3 linked regions of the Bombyx mori genome follow. The protein of the gene in region 1 purifies or fractionates together with the protein of each later gene. This does not show direct contact. Links are inferred from orthologs where the notes say so. Each region holds a gene or a part of one and is shown on either strand. Other genes may lie near its edges.

Region 1 (5,616 bases):
TCCACCTTCCTGCACGGCCTATAAAATTCAGCATGAAAAAGAATATAGAAAGGGAGTTAGATCGTCTGATCTCAGAAGGGATAGTGGAAAAGGTAGATCCTAATATTACACCTATTGAATGGGCTACACCCACAGTTAACATTCTGAAATCTACAGGGGAAGTTAGGATATGTGGAGACTACAGAACTACACTTAATCCAGTACTTATTAAACACCTACACCCAGTTCCGATTTTCGATCAACTACGCCAAAATCTCGCAAACGGTAAATTATTTTCAAAAATAGACCTTAAAGACGCATACTTACAATTTGAAATAGCACCAGATTCGAAAAAGTACTTGACGTTGTCAACCCATAAAGGGTATTTCCAATACAATAGAATGCCTTTTGGAATATCGACTGCTCCTTCAATTTTTCAACATTTTCTGGATCAACTGCTAGGTGATATCACCAATGTAGCTGTATATTTTGACGACATAGCTATAGCAGGGAAAGATCTTTCAGAACATTTACAAACTTTATCTATTGTACTCGATCGCTTACAAAACGCTGGCCTAAAAGTTAACTTAAAGAAATGTAATTTCTTACAGAATCAGATTGAATACCTAGGTCACATAATAGATAAACATGGCATCCACCCAACCAAATCTAAAATTGATGCCATAACTAAGGCCCCAGCACCGTGTAATGCAAAAGAACTACGATCATTTTTAGGACTAGTTAATTTTTACGAACGGTTTGTACCACATCTTCACGGGATTTGTTCGGATCTTCACGATCTAACTAGTGAAAAAAATAGATGGCGTTGGACTGATCATGAAAACAGAATATTTGAAGATACAAAGAAATGCATAACTTCTTCACAACCATTAATTGCATTTGACGAGAAACGTCCCCTTTATTTAGCATGTGACGCTTCCGAAAAGGGATTGGGTGCAGTATTATTCCACAAGGACTCGAACATAGAACAACCAATTGCTTTTGCTTCAAGGAAACTACGACCAGCGGAAATGAAATATTCCGTTATTGATCGTGAAGCTTTAGCAATAGTATTTGGTATAAAAAAATTTGATCAGTACTTGAGAGGAACGAAATTTAATCTAGTTACGGACCATAAGCCTCTTATACATATTATGGGTGCACACCGCAACCTTCCTAAACTAGCCAATAACCGATTGGTAAGATGGGCCCTAGTAGTGGGAAGTTATCAATATGACATTTACTACAGGAAAGGTGAAAATAACACATTAGCTGATTGCCTTTCCAGATTACCAAACCCTGAAACTGAACCCTCCGAGACAGAAGGGCTTGTACATAAAATAGATCTACGTCTTTTGAGCACTCGAATGACTGACCTTAATCTATCAGAACAGTTACTTATGAAAACAACTTCAAAGGATCATATACTCACAAAAGTTTGTCAAAATTTAAAAACCGGCTGGAGAGAATCAGATTACAATCCAGAAATGAAACCATTCTACAGAAACCGGACTGAATTATCTGTTGAGAATAAGATACTTATGAGGCAAGGACGCATCGTTATACCTACAGCACTCCGAAAAACCATTCTTACATACCTTCATCGAGGACATCCTGGCATTTCTGCTATGAAAGCACTTTCACGTTACTATGTTTGGTGGCCTAACCTTGACGAAGACATAGAATTATTTGTCAAGAAATGTACCAGATGCCAACAGAACCGCCCTTGTAATCCTGAACTTCCTGTATTTTCCTGGTCCATACCAGAAGAAGTATGGGAGAGAATCCATATCGACTTTGCTGGACCGTTCGAAGGATCGTATTGGTTGGTATTGTGCGACGCTCTCTCCAAATGGGTGGAAATACGACCGATGAAACACATCAACACCAGATCACTTTGTCTTACATTAGATAACATATTTTGTACATTTGGCTTACCAAAAATGATTATATCCGATAATGGACCTCAATTTACATCTTATGAATTTAAAGAATATTGCACAAAACAATCTATTTTACATGTCACATCATCTCCATATCATCCTCGGACAAATGGGCTGGCAGAACGTTTAGTCAGAACATTCAAAAATAGAATGGCATCGGTAGACAACACAAATCTCGAGCGCCGACTATTAGAATTTTTGTTTACATACAGAAACACTCCGCACTCGTCCACTGGTAAATCTCCAGCTGAGATGATGTTTGGACGACAATTGAATTGCATACTTTCCAACATTCGGCCAGACAAAAGAAGATTAATGCAGTATTTACAAGTAAAAGAAAACATTCGTACCACATCACCGAGTTACCGACCAAGTGACCAAGTATATATTAAAACACGCAATGATAAAATATGGGAACCAGCGGTAATTACATCCCGAAAACATAAATATTCATATATTGTTTCAACACCAGGAGGACTAGAAAAACGAAGACACGCTGATCACATCAGGCCACGCGAGTCTTCCACCTCAGAAACCCCGAGGAATAAAAGGGCGCATTCTTCTATGCTGCCGACGACTGCTTCTCCAGACATTGGAATGGAAACATCAATTAGCGAAAGGCTAACTAACAATAAGAATTCGGCAGCAGTACTATTACCTACACCGCAGTCGCCTACAAATGTACAAATTTCTCCAAATTCACCTTCACAGCATTCGAAGTTATACTCCTCACCTGCTCCGGTCTCCACTCCTGTGCCATTTGCTCCGCGTCGAAGTAATCGACCTAAACAGGCACCCCGCCGTCTGATCAACGAGATGTAGATGGGGAGGAATGTTGTAACCTTCTTTTCCATATTCCATTATTTGAAATATACTTCAAACACATTGTCATTTTTGCTACCTATCATTATTATATTTTTATGCTATGTCTTGAAAACATTGTTTTATTATATTAACTTGAACTTATTATTTTATATTAATATTTTTATGACATTAGAGACTAGACTTTATTGTCCAAAGCGGGTGCTAGCATTTAGGTTGTGATGTCTAGTCTACTTTAATCAATTAACAGATGTCTGCCTGTTTAAAACATGATAAAATTCGAATGCTGTTTTATTTAGTTAAATATTACGCTGTAAGCCTTTTATTCCCTTATGTATTATATGTATGAAATTTTAAAAAGTTAAATATAAATTGATAAAAGAGGTTAAATGTTAAGATGAAATAAGTACAGCAGAATTAAACTAAAATTTTACAAAACAAATTTTAGTTTAATTTGTTTGTAATTCTAAATAAAAGTTTATATACAAATGTACAATTGTTTTAAATCTTAATGATTCTGTTGTCAACTCTCACCTTTCGAAGGTGTGCCGGTTGAACGCTGCGGAGTCTCCGGAACGATAACTTGTTGTGAGGATCGCGTTCTTCGTGGAGTCGATGCTTCCGATGATGCACGCGACGACGGGCGTTTAGATGGTGTAGACATTTTTAACTTCACACTCGTTTTTTAACACAACTTACTATAAAAAATAATTAGCAACAAGTTTTAAACAACACCGAAGCAGCATTTGTTTTGGAACTTTAGAAGTCTTGGCGCGAATTGTTGACAGCTGACATTGTCGTTCGTTATAATCGGTTTCGTTCGTCAGACAAGTAAAGGGAATATCGCCCGATACCTTGAAAATTTCTGTGATACGATTGAACCCAAAAATGGAAACTTCGCGAATTTACAGGTGAAATTAGGTTACAACTAAATGAAGCGGACTGCAACAATTTCATTAGAGAAGGAATAAAATAGCCTCTAAGTAAATTAAGAAATAAAAAGGTAGATTTGAATTTCCAATTTACTAAGTATTCAATGGACTTTTTGGAAAAACCCGAAAAGCCACGACCAGTGACTTTATTCTTCATTTTTCTACATTCATGGATTTTTACAAATCTATATCTGAAGATACACAAAGTGAACAAAACACTATAATTTATAGAGCTGGACACTTCACATTCCTCCAAAAGGTCGGCTTGTAGATGACTCACGATAGTTTGCTGTCAGTTTGAAACCGGTGAATGCAACCATTATATATTGCGACTTGTGTAGAGGTTTGGGCATGTACACAAATTAATATTGTTCATCACCTACGTTTTAGTGATACTATCAACTCAACTTATTTTTAGTTCTTTTCTTGGTGGATAGTCAGTAGCAATTTTATTAAGTAAGAAAAATAGGATTAATTGTACCGCGTGAGCGGTCCCAGTTTAAGCAAAGTTCGGATGTGACCGTTCAGACTGTTTAAAACGCTATGCCCTATTTCATAAATGCTGTTGCACCACCCTTCTTTGGAAACGATTAGGCCGTTGACAGCAAATTCTACCCCTCTTGGTTTAAACAGAGCTCACTTTCCTATCGTGTTAAAGCCTACAGGCCATCAGCAATCACGCGATCACGGAAAGATAATTAAGTGGGCAAAGGTGCAATTGATACTAAACGAGATAACAGAAACAATTTTATTTGGTAATACCGAGGACTAAGCCATGCTGCATAAGAAAATATGTTTTAAGAAAAAAAGGTTCATCATTGCCGATTAATAGCGATTTTTACCCTATTGAATGTCAACTTACCACAGACAATGAAGTTTGTTTTTTAAATCAATTGATCGTTCATTCACCTTCACCGCTGATGTTTTTGTGGTGTTATTTTATGTTAAAATAAATAAAAATGATAATTGCTATGTAACAGCAACTCTGACTGTTGTGTAGTAAATTTGATCAAGTGCAATATAATAAAGGAACGTTGATAAATGCACGAAAAATATTCACGTCCCGGTGGGTTTGTTTCGCCTACCTGCATTGGACGTAGAATATTTCGTGCTTATTTGTCGGTGACTGGACATATGATTTATAATTAAATGGACAAGTAGAAAGTGCGCTGATGCGTAGTACGTATGTTAACAAGTGAATAAGCGCTTATACAAGATTCGAACAATATTCGGTAAGTGCAATTGAATGATTCATACGAGATATGCATTGAAAAGGTCCCTCGAAACTGTTCGTAATTGTTCCTTTGTGCTCTTACATGTTTACGTTCGCAGATAAGATATTTTTAGTCGTGCATTCAAATATAGAATGCATTGACATTGTTGCAGTGAGGTGCTGTAGTTTGAATTTTTTTTCTATGCATCGCATATGCATTTCGGTGCATTTCAAGGCTAATGACCGCGGTATTGTTTAGTTCGGAGCGCTCATTGCCTCAATTGAAAACTGTTAAAATATCCTTCCAATTCATTAACGTTCTTTAACATGGCAAATAAATGTTTTTTAATGTAAGATTTTTAAAAAATACTTCCAAATATAAATCATCCAGACCTTAAAAAACTTTATGTACAGAAACAATCTTTATTTATCAAACAGGTTGAACAGCCTTATCAGCTCTGCAAGTCCATTTAAAAATGATCCTTATAAATGATATCATTAAAGGGTAGATTTGGTGAATAGCAATTTATCTTCAAGTATAGTCCATTAAAAGCACAAAAAGAAAGTTTTTTGCTATTGAAATTGTAATGTTTATAAGTGCTTATGTTTATGTTAATTACCCATAAAATGTGTACCAATTAGAAAGTAGTTTACAGCAATATATTCATAAATGTTTGGACTCATAATTTCTATTCATCTCTAATGTAAACAGTTAATAAAATAAAAA
Region 2 (5,317 bases), on another chromosome or scaffold:
TTTTGGTCTTGCAGCAAGGATTGAATATGAAGGTAATTATAGGCCTACTCGATAGTGATCTTCTATCACATTGTAGTGATAAAAGTTTTTAATGAAGGCATGACTACAACTTTTTACAATTTTATCATGCAAACACTCTGCTTAAAGAACTGAAACCATTTTTTTATACCTAAGAATAACCTTGAGATTCAATTTCCTTTTCAACCTTTCTGAAAGTAATCATTCTCAGAAATATAAACATGAAGTGTGCGCCCATAGTTGTAATTCTGATGCTAAGGATTTCTCGTTTTTGAACTTGAAACAACAAAATGAACTTTCATAGGAGAGAGAAAACAGACTCTGTGTGGTACCCCAAACTACATTGCCCCTGAGATATTAACAAAGAAGGGCCACTCATTTGAAGTGGATATCTGGAGTCTGGGCTGCATCATGTACACGCTGCTTGTTGGCAAACCGCCGTTTGAGACGTCCACCCTCAAGGATACATACAAAAGGATTAAACAGTGCGAATACAGGTGATTTTTTTTTAATATAAATCTGTATGGATATCATCATTATTATAGTATTAAAAAGTATATATAGAATATTGATTTCAGCATTGATTACAATACGAAAAATATATACGTGATCATGGATAACATGTTATGTTAATATATTATATTTTAGAAAGTTATCAAAGAGAATATTAACAATAGATAATGTTATTGTTCCAACCAGTGAGGCAGTAGAGGTAGCGATGCGCGTTTGTCTCGGGGGCCCTTGGAACCATTTACGTAGTCGCTACGCGCGAACGTTAATCGACGATAACACCCTCAAACTACAATACAGGTGCATCATGGGGTGCTAGAGAAATATGGCACTTTATAATATATATTTGTCAACATAAAATTACTTAACGCTTATTCTTCCTTTTAAAATGACTTCAAAATATCCAACCAAATTCCTTTGATTCTATAAACTATTTGGCAAACATTAGTGCCATATTTTGACTTTTGCACCATCAAACTAGGGTGAAGGGTGATCATGATGTGCAGCTTTATGTATTGTGGATATTTCTAACGTCTGCTTAACTTACAACACAAGTCATACTTAGTCTTAGTAATGTAAAAAATGTTTCTAATTTCGAATCTAAATGTATTTCAATCTCAATCATTAAAATTTAAAACAGCACTAAGTTTAAAATTATTACTAGGAATTATTAATAACGCAATATTATAAAACAAACTATGTACTACTTACTATACTATATAATATGTTGAAACTGAATTAGGAAAATAATACTATTTGTATATAGAGTTCCTAATTCTAAGAGTTAAAGTAACTTTTTGTTATTAACTGAGAAATTTGGTCACTAGAGCCAACACTTCACTCGATTGTCAACCAGAGCCAGGCACCAGACTACAATGTGATCATTCGTGTTGTAGTCTGGTGCAGGCCTAGTGTTATAAAATTGACATCCCTGTTGGTATAGCTCTATGACTACTGTTCTTCTGGCCTTCTAATATAACAATTCCCTTGGTCTTCACGTTTGTCGATCTCGAACAATCAAATATATCTTCAGGATTCCGTCGTCGCTTCGCAAACCGGCGGCGTCCATGATTGTACTGCAGTTGCAATCGAACCCTGCGCGTCGTCCGTCCGTGGACAAACTTCTGCAGCATGAATTCTTCTCATCGGGGATTTTGCCAGCCGGGCTGCCCGTCTCTTGCCTCACCACAGCGCCGCGCACTGACCAGCTCGAGGGCATGCTGGTACACCGCCGCCCTCTTAACGAAGTTCATGCTAACGGTGCATATATTGTAATTTATTTAATCGCAGGCTAGACTTCGAGACTTTCTCCCTCATAAATTGATGAGGGAGAGTTCAATAATAATTAAAGAAATTATAGTTTTAAATGGTAAAATATCATCGCAGTTACGATGAACACTAAAGAATATGTCGGATATGCGCGGATCTTTATTAATGACCCGACAGACTTCGTAGTGCCTCAATCGATAAATAAAAAAAAGACCTAAACTTTTGCATAAAATAAACTTAAAACAAACAAAAGGAATCCGTTTGACGGGGTACACATCAAAGAAAAACAAAATTGTTATTTTTATTCAATTCTGAGCATTTTCATATTTAAACCTTCTCTGGACTTCCACAAATAATTCTAGACCAAAATTAGCCAAATCGGTCAAGCCGTTCTCGAGTTTTAGCGAGACTAACGAACAGCAATTCATTTTTATATATATAGATAGATAGATAGAAGATTCATTAAGGAGCACTTATGCACATCAAAATCTTCATAGAATCAAAAAAGCAGCATTTTTCTCCTTTTATAATTAGCTACTTTAAAATTCAACATAAATGAATTGACATTTATAATACGTACTTTCAATTGAATAGAACAAGAGACGATGGCAGTGGACTCGCCCGTCAAACGCGAAGCTACCCCCGCGGGGCCACGAGCTGTGGAACCAACGTCGCACCGCCAGAATTTTATTGCACTGCGAGACCAGCTCGCTGCATTGTTGGTTAACAAGGTAAAATATAGTTTTTTTTTATATTAATACTAGCGACCCGCCTTCGCTTCGCTTCGGAAACATTAAATTTTATTATTAATTAATAGCTGAGTCTCGCGATGTTACCCGCGGTTATTGTCGTACCGCGAGTGAGGCCGCGGGGCGAAGCTAGTCTTAAAAAAGTAGCCTAAGTTACTCCTTATATCATCAGCTACCTATCAGTGAAAGTCTCGTCAAAATGGTCTAGCCGTTCCAGAGATTAGCCGGAACAAACAGACCGACAAAAATTGTTAAAAATGTTATTTTGGTATATGTACCGTATATATATTCATATTATGCGCTTAGTAAAAAGCGGTTATTTCAATATTACAAATAGACACTCCAATTTTATTTATATGTATAGATGAGAAAAAATACCTATGGTCTAAATAACATTTAATAGGCTCTAGTTTTGAAATAGGGCAGGACCGTGCTATGAACTGGTATACGCTGATAACCTTATCATAAGTAGAAATAAATTGATAAACTCTTCATCTTATGGAACTTTTGTAACTTAATTATAAACAACTAGTTTGACTGTATGTTGGCATTTTCTATAACTTTTAGCTGAAATGCCGACCGGAGGCTCTGACAGACGAGCTGAGCGATCCCGCAGCACAGCCGCTGGTGTGGGTTGGCAAGTGGGTCGACTACAGCGACAAATACGGATTCGGATACCAGCTCTGCGACGAGAGCGTCGGTGTCATGTTCAACGATACTACCAAGCTTATCATGCTCGCTAATGGACTGTAAGTTTACGTTTAATATAAATATTAGATGATAATATCAGATATACATATTTTTAATTATATTATATTATAGTAGTATACAACAGGCGCTTGCAACAGTTTCGAACTCACTAAAATTCGAAATCACGTTCGAATCACTAAAGCTTAAAATAGTTTTTTTTTTTATATCTTTATAATGAGAATCAAAGTATAATATGTCATAAAACGAATGCATTGCACACTCAAAATTAGAATCAAATCATAGCTCACACAAACTTTAAACATATTTTGAAGAAAAAAAATTCGCAATACACTTTTTTATACAAGTGATAAGAATCCATAGACATCATAATATGTTAATAGCATATTCCTTGCGGCGTGATTCTCAATTGTTTTGTATTATGACTGTAATGTGCAGATTAGCAAGCAACAAAATCTTCATATTGCTATCTGAAAAAATAAAAGGAGATCTGCATAAACTATCCTTTTTCAGGAATGTGCACTACATCAATCGGCAGGGCCAAGAGCAGTACATGACGATGCGCGATTACCCGCAAGAACTCGACAAAAAAATGAAACTCCTTACATACTTTAGACGATACATGACCGAACATCTCATGAAAGCTGGTAAATTTTTCAACATCCATTGTCATCACTAAAGCATATAAATCAAATAGAATATTCAGAAAACAAAATGTGTGAGCAATAGTTTTCTTATGGCATGAGTAACTAATGTATTCATACTTAACAACAATGTTATCGCTTTTAAATAAATTTACCATTATCCAGGTGCTTCAGTACCAGTGCGAGAGAGTGATGGTCTGTCTCGTTTGCCACATTTACACCAGTGGTTTCGAACAACTTTAGCTGTTATTATGTACCTGACTAATGGAACTTTACAGGTTAGTAGAATTATATTTTAATGCTGTTGGCATATAATTTTTATTGATCTGTTATATTTCTTTCTCATCATGATTGTTTTTTTTTTCTAATATTACAGATAAACTTCCAAGATCACACAAAGATAATACTGTGTCCACTTATGCAAGCTGTCACCTACATAGATATAGAGAAGAATTTCAGAACATTCCGCTTTAATACCATTGAAGAGCATGGCTGTGATAAAAAGCTTTACACAAACCTCACATATGCATTGGAAAAACTAAACAGTGTATTGGCAAACAAACTGTGCTAGTTTTCACTGAACCTAAATGAGTAAATGAATTTGTGGGCTTTGTGGAAAGCTCCAATGAAGAACTGTGTAAACCAAGAGACCCTGCTTATGTAAATAGCAAAAAAGTTTGAAATCACTACAAATTTTCATCATTCTGTTCTTATTGATTGAGATAGTCTGTACTTGATAAAAAAAATCTTTACACTTAAATTTCCTAGGGTCTCCTACTTTTCTAAAATAAAAATTATATTACCTTTTGTATTTTTAGGATAGTCACCAGTATATTATAATTTAATAGAAGGGTCACTAAAATCAATTTTGTACCCTAAAATTTCAAACTTAGGTTAAAAATCCACCGATACTGTCTATTTATTTAGTAAATACTTTTTAATGATTTAGCATCAAATTATTTTGCCGATTCAGTATATGAGCAAAACTTTCGACTTTTTTTTTTATTCTTTAAATATGTGTCTTTGGTTGTTAATACATATTATATTCCATTTGATGCAAAACTTACTGACTTTGCCATTTCAGGGAATGATTTGATTTCTATCTACATATTTCTAAACATCTACAATAATTGATGGAAGAATAAATTTAATTTTAGATTTTAATTTGATTGCCATTTTAAAAGCGCCCTTTGACAGGGGCTGTGGTGCGATATCAAGAAAGTTTGGAGTTATTTAGTTTTATAACTATATTTTTATAACATTTTGTTTTGTGCTTCAACAGCATCAATTACAAATTGTTTCATGTTCGTAATGAAATAAAATTAATGTAATTCAGCAAGTGTTCAATATTTAGTCGTTAGAATTCGTTATGCGTGAAAAGAAATCGATTCAGTACTGTATGTATCAATTTCATTTTGC
Region 3 (4,873 bases), on another chromosome or scaffold:
AACATGCATGTTATTCTGCAGTGTAAGCTATATTATTGTAAGCTTCATCAAAATTCATTGAGCACTTTTTGCGTGAAAGAGTAACAATTAAGATGTAGTGGGAAATTATTTTCCTTCGGGAAAACTCTGATCTTTATCGGAATACGATGACACCCGAACAGTCAATGAATGATTATATTAAATGAGTAACATTTTCATATCCAATAGTATGGAACTTTATTATTTAGTGTCAAAATGAATAATGTCATTGCACTGAGAGAGCACGATAAATACGAACTTTTCCGAAAAATTACGAAGTACTTTTCTGAATATGTCTATACATTCTTACACACTTTCACATTTATAATATTAAGTAGGATGAATCAAAAAAGGGTATTATTATGATATATAAAAAAATCATTGGATTCATTGAACATTGGCTTCAACCCTGATTCCTTCAATGCAGGAAAGGGCTTGCATTTTTTTGCTTACCTAATCGTCGGTACCCTAAAGGGCTATTCTAACTACTCACGGACCGGTAGGTGAGCTCCCTGGGCTCATCCTGAGAGAATTTACTAAAACTAGCCCTAGCAAGCACAGTGCTTCGCAGAATCTACCATCGGGTCGGAATCACGGCCCAATGAGAAGACCCGGTGAAAGAAACTCAGTTACTTGTGTTTGTGGCAGCGTATTCCCAAAAGGACAAGCACTAACACATTTCCCCACCCCCACTGTGCCAGAAAAAAGTTTTCATAAACTATCGTAAATGCCTTAAACAAATAAAATATCAATCAAACTGCTGGGAAACCCGATCGCGAATAACATTGCACAGCGCGTAATAAAAATCTCGTCAATAAAATATAAAACATTAAAACAGAAAAACAATAAAAATGTTTCACGTGTATTGTATTTCTCTTATGTTGAACAACATTGTAATACATAATGGGTATTGTGGCATTGAATCTAATGTTATATTTCGTTTTGCAAACTGTAAATATTGTGGTTTGCACGAAATCACTGCGCACAGGCAGAGATGCTTTAGAAGATGAGTACCCGTACGTTGTGACGGTCGAGTTAAAACTCACGAATACTACGACGAACGCTCTGCTGTGCTCGGGGTGCGTGCTGACCCCGACCTGGACCCTGACCACCGCGCGCTGCGTCTCCAAAACCGAAGACTTGCTAATCCAGGATCCGAAGATGTCATGGGTGGTGTACTATGGACTCACGCAGAAACCTTCCCAGGACACCGCCATCGCGATCCTTTCCGGAATAGTCCACCCCAGATATGCCGCGTCACCGAGAATGCTTCACAACGACATCGGCCTTCTGCGCACCGATCCCATCACCCTTAAACAGTTCGCCAAATTGAGCGCCGTTGACATGTTCTCTATGAACGGTTACGAAGTTGAGCTAATAGGCTTCAAGTCGACCAATGATACCAGTGGAAAATTGAAGAGAACTCTACAGATTTCATCGGTTGTGGTGAAGACTTGTGAAGGCACCGTTACTTATCCGGGGATGTGTTTGGCTCGGTCCTGCTCGTTGACCGACGCTTGTCACCAGGAAACTGGAGGTATAGCCATCCACAGCACCGGGGTCATAGCACTCCTGGCCAGTGGACGCAAGAGGGACTGCTTGGAGAACAATGAGAGACAGCAGGCCTATCAAATTGAGACAATGACTTCAATTGTGCCATATATAGATTGGATTCATACTCATATCAAGAGCTAATAGTAGCTAGTGTAAGATTGGTGTCAGAAGCTTCAGTGAACGGATGAAATTTGTATTGTTTTCTCAATAAAAGTGTTTGTTTATGAGCTTTATTTGTATTTAGCTTTTAAAAGCAATTAAAAATGCTCAGTTAACTTGATGATTACCCGCCTTTAGTTAAGCCTGCTCACTAAAGTATTGATATTTTACACTGACTAACTTTGTACGCTTCGGGCTTGTGTTGGATCAATGTTTTATCTTCTCGTTATTTTACTTGCTTAGCTTATACTGTTGTGTATGCACAAATGAAAGATTCCAAAGCAGACTGGTTTATTTTTGCATCTACCCGCCATTTTATAATGCGATTTAATATCTATACATAACACTTGTAATAAAGGGAGGTGGCGGAATTCATGGAATTCATTTGGTGAACTATATCTGATGTTTATAGGTTCCGTGAAGCTGTTGACCTGGAGTTGGCCATTAGTTTGTTCAAATAATTGTTCCATGCTCTCTGCGACATACGCCTTAGTAACTTCTTACTGCATTTCCAAATAGTAAGGAAATTGTATAATGGTAAACATGACGTAATAGCTTAGGTTATTTGAAGATACACTTTTTTAACGAGCATAATAAGAAATACTATTGCAACATTCTCTTCGAAACTCGTTTAAGATACTCATTACGATTGATTACAATTCAGGTTAAAGGTCTACTCCCCGACGAGGAGAAAGAGAAAATAGGTCCGAAGCCAGTGACCGGGGCAGCCCAGAGCCGGGCGGGGCGTCCCCCCGCGCCCCCCTCTGCCCCCCGCGCTGCTCCGCCTCCCCCGCCCCCGGCACCGCCTGTGCTGCTGCAGCCGATGTCCTCGCTAATGGTCCTGCCCCCCATGGCGCCCCGACCTCCGCTCATACCGGCTCCAGTGGGTACGTATACTCGAACACTGCACACATTCCGTACAACATGGCGCTAAGATCGCGTGCCTGATTTACTGGTGCCGGACAATGTACATGTAGTCTTAGGGAGTTAAGCTACAGATTAGAGGAAGAGTTGATGGAATGATAGAGTAAAGTGACATCTGAATGTGATCGCTGTGAGGGGATCATATGGTCAAAGTGTTCTGTGCAGGGGACCGACCCATCGTGGGTCGGTGAGTATCGGCTTCGGTCTGTGCACCCACGGTGTGTTGGACCCCACCTAACGCCAGTTGAGCTGTAGATTCGCGTGCCAGTAATGCATGCAACTATCCAAATATTGTGTGTGCTTCTTGCATAACACATCCGCTCAGTACATTTTGTACCAATAATGTGATTGCATCGCCTTAGGTGCAGTACCACCGCCGGCGTTCAACTTCGGAGCGGTAGTCCCTCCGGGCACAGTGGCGGAGCCCGAGGACGAGGGCCCGGCCGCTAAGAGAGCCCGCACCGAGGACGCGCTGGAGCCCGAGGGCGCCTGGCTCGCGCGCCACCCCGGCGCAGTCCCCCTGCAGGTGGGCTACCAGTAACACTACAATGATTGCTCTTACGCTAACAAACATTACAACTACAAACAAATAGAAAATCGGTCCAGTGTTTTTTTATTTTTTTTTATTGCTCAGAGGGGTGGACGAGCTTACAGCCGACCTGATGTTAAGTGGTTACTGAAGCCCATATACATCTACAACGTAAATGCGCCACCCACCTTGAGATATAAGTTCTAAGGTCTAAGTATAGTTACAACGGCTGCCCCACCCTTCAAACCGAAACGCATTACTGCTTCACGGCAGAAATAGGCACGGTGGTGGTACCCACCCGCGCGTATTATTAATATACCCCCAATATTAATATGTAGACAGAAGTGCTCTAATTTAATACGGTTTTATTAGCTTCATACGTATGTTAGTAAGTAACGGAATCTTTGAACATGATTTTGACCCCCTTCAAAACGTCAGATTGATTCGAAATTTGGCATACTTATTAAGGACCGATTAAAATTCAATATTTTAAACAATTAGACTCGTTATCCTTACTAGGATAATCAGGAATAGCGATTTTTTGTTTTCCTGAGACCCTGAGTGTCTGCGTCAAAACCAAGATGGGAAACCACCAGGCCCGCTGATTACCTATTTCTCGGATAAGTTACCGACTGTATCAGATGAAAGTTTTGAAATATTGAAAAAAAAAATTAATAAATTAAAATTCAACTAAAAAAATAGAAAATAAATTTTAATTAAAAATAGTCTAAGAAAAAATTATATTATTGTAAAAAAATCGTGGGGCGCACTGTATCAATAGTTATAAATATTTTATGAACAGATATGAGTAGAAGGGCTATTTTGATAATATACTGAAAAGCACCCGTACCTCCTACGAGGTCTCCGCGCTTAGGAGGCGCGCGGGGTAGGTACGTGGGACTGGTCCGCGACTGCGAGACTGCGGGCCCAAGGATGTTTTCAGGGCCCTAGAGTGGTGGTACCTACCCGTGCGGACTCACAAGACGTCCTACCACCAGGAATGCATTATGTTAATTGTATGATATTGTACCCTAATGCCCTTGTCCCTTGTGTCGGCAGGTGTCGTTGCCGGCGGCGCCTGAGCGCGCGGAGTGGCGGCTGGACGGGCGCGCGGTGCCGCTGACGCTGCCGCTGTCGGCCGCCGTCGCCGAGCTCAAGGCCATGCTGCAGCGCGCCACCAACATGCCCACCGCCAAGCAGAAGCTGCACTACGAGGTATCCCGACACGCTCAAATACTCGCATAGCTCACCGTAACAAATGATTAGCCATATTTTTTCCCCGGTTTTGACAGACCATATTAGCGTCAGGCGAATAGGTGAGCTCATGGGGCTCAAATCTGACGTTGTTGCTAACACGAACCCTAGCAAGAGCTGTGCTTCGCAGAATCTTCCATCAGATAATATATAAGTATTGTTCCAGGGTCTGTTCTTCAAGGATACTAACAGCTTGGCGTACTACAACGTGCCCCCGGGTGCCGTCATACAGCTACAGATCAAGGAACGAGGCGGTAGAAAGAAATAATACAAAAAAATACTATAAAAGTTAATGATAAGGGACTGCGAAACACGTTGGAAGAATTAATACAGAATTTACATCAGAATATTGACATTCAGTCAATAGGTTGTTACGTTAGTCGTGATAAAAAGATTCATTGAAATTATCTAATGGTGGGAAAATTAAATATTTAC

The links.
Region 2: the proteins of DNA replication licensing factor MCM4 (region 1) and serine/threonine-protein kinase polo purify together in Homo sapiens (affinity purification with mass spectrometry; 3 studies listed by BioGRID and IntAct, with this or other methods). This does not show direct contact. The link is inferred for Bombyx mori from reciprocal best matches to the Homo sapiens genes MCM4 and PLK1.
Region 3: the proteins of DNA replication licensing factor MCM4 (region 1) and splicing factor 3A subunit 1 fractionate together in Homo sapiens (co-fractionation; 3 studies listed by BioGRID, with this or other methods). This does not show direct contact. The link is inferred for Bombyx mori from reciprocal best matches to the Homo sapiens genes MCM4 and SF3A1.

The regions. Positions count from the first base shown.
Region 1 is NC_085125.1:2,550,136-2,555,751, reverse strand, and holds the start of DNA replication licensing factor MCM4, read right to left. Parts: upstream 3,554-5,616; 5' UTR 3,409-3,553; coding exon 3,279-3,408; intron 1-3,278. UniProt on the Homo sapiens protein: Acts as a component of the MCM2-7 complex (MCM complex) which is the replicative helicase essential for 'once per cell cycle' DNA replication initiation and elongation in eukaryotic cells.
Region 2 is NC_085121.1:12,624,145-12,629,461, forward strand, and holds the end of serine/threonine-protein kinase polo, read left to right. Parts: coding exon 1-32; intron 33-322; coding exon 323-515; intron 516-717; coding exon of another isoform or gene 718-828; intron 829-1,561; coding exon 1,562-1,788; intron 1,789-2,391; coding exon 2,392-2,528; intron 2,529-3,113; coding exon 3,114-3,295; intron 3,296-3,767; coding exon 3,768-3,901; intron 3,902-4,063; coding exon 4,064-4,176; intron 4,177-4,274; coding exon 4,275-4,469; downstream 4,470-5,317. UniProt on the Homo sapiens protein: Serine/threonine-protein kinase that performs several important functions throughout M phase of the cell cycle, including the regulation of centrosome maturation and spindle assembly, the removal of cohesins from chromosome arms, the inactivation of anaphase-promoting complex/cyclosome (APC/C) inhibitors, and the regulation of mitotic exit and cytokinesis.
Region 3 is NC_085112.1:2,361,184-2,366,056, forward strand, and holds part of splicing factor 3A subunit 1, read left to right. Parts: exon of another isoform or gene 1-921; coding exon of another isoform or gene 922-1,713; exon of another isoform or gene 1,714-2,395; coding exon 2,396-2,618; intron 2,619-3,017; coding exon 3,018-3,181; intron 3,182-4,243; coding exon 4,244-4,399; intron 4,400-4,604; coding exon 4,605-4,706; 3' UTR 4,707-4,873. Other genes in the region: transmembrane protease serine 3-like, read left to right, coding at 922-1,713. UniProt on the Homo sapiens protein: Component of the 17S U2 SnRNP complex of the spliceosome, a large ribonucleoprotein complex that removes introns from transcribed pre-mRNAs.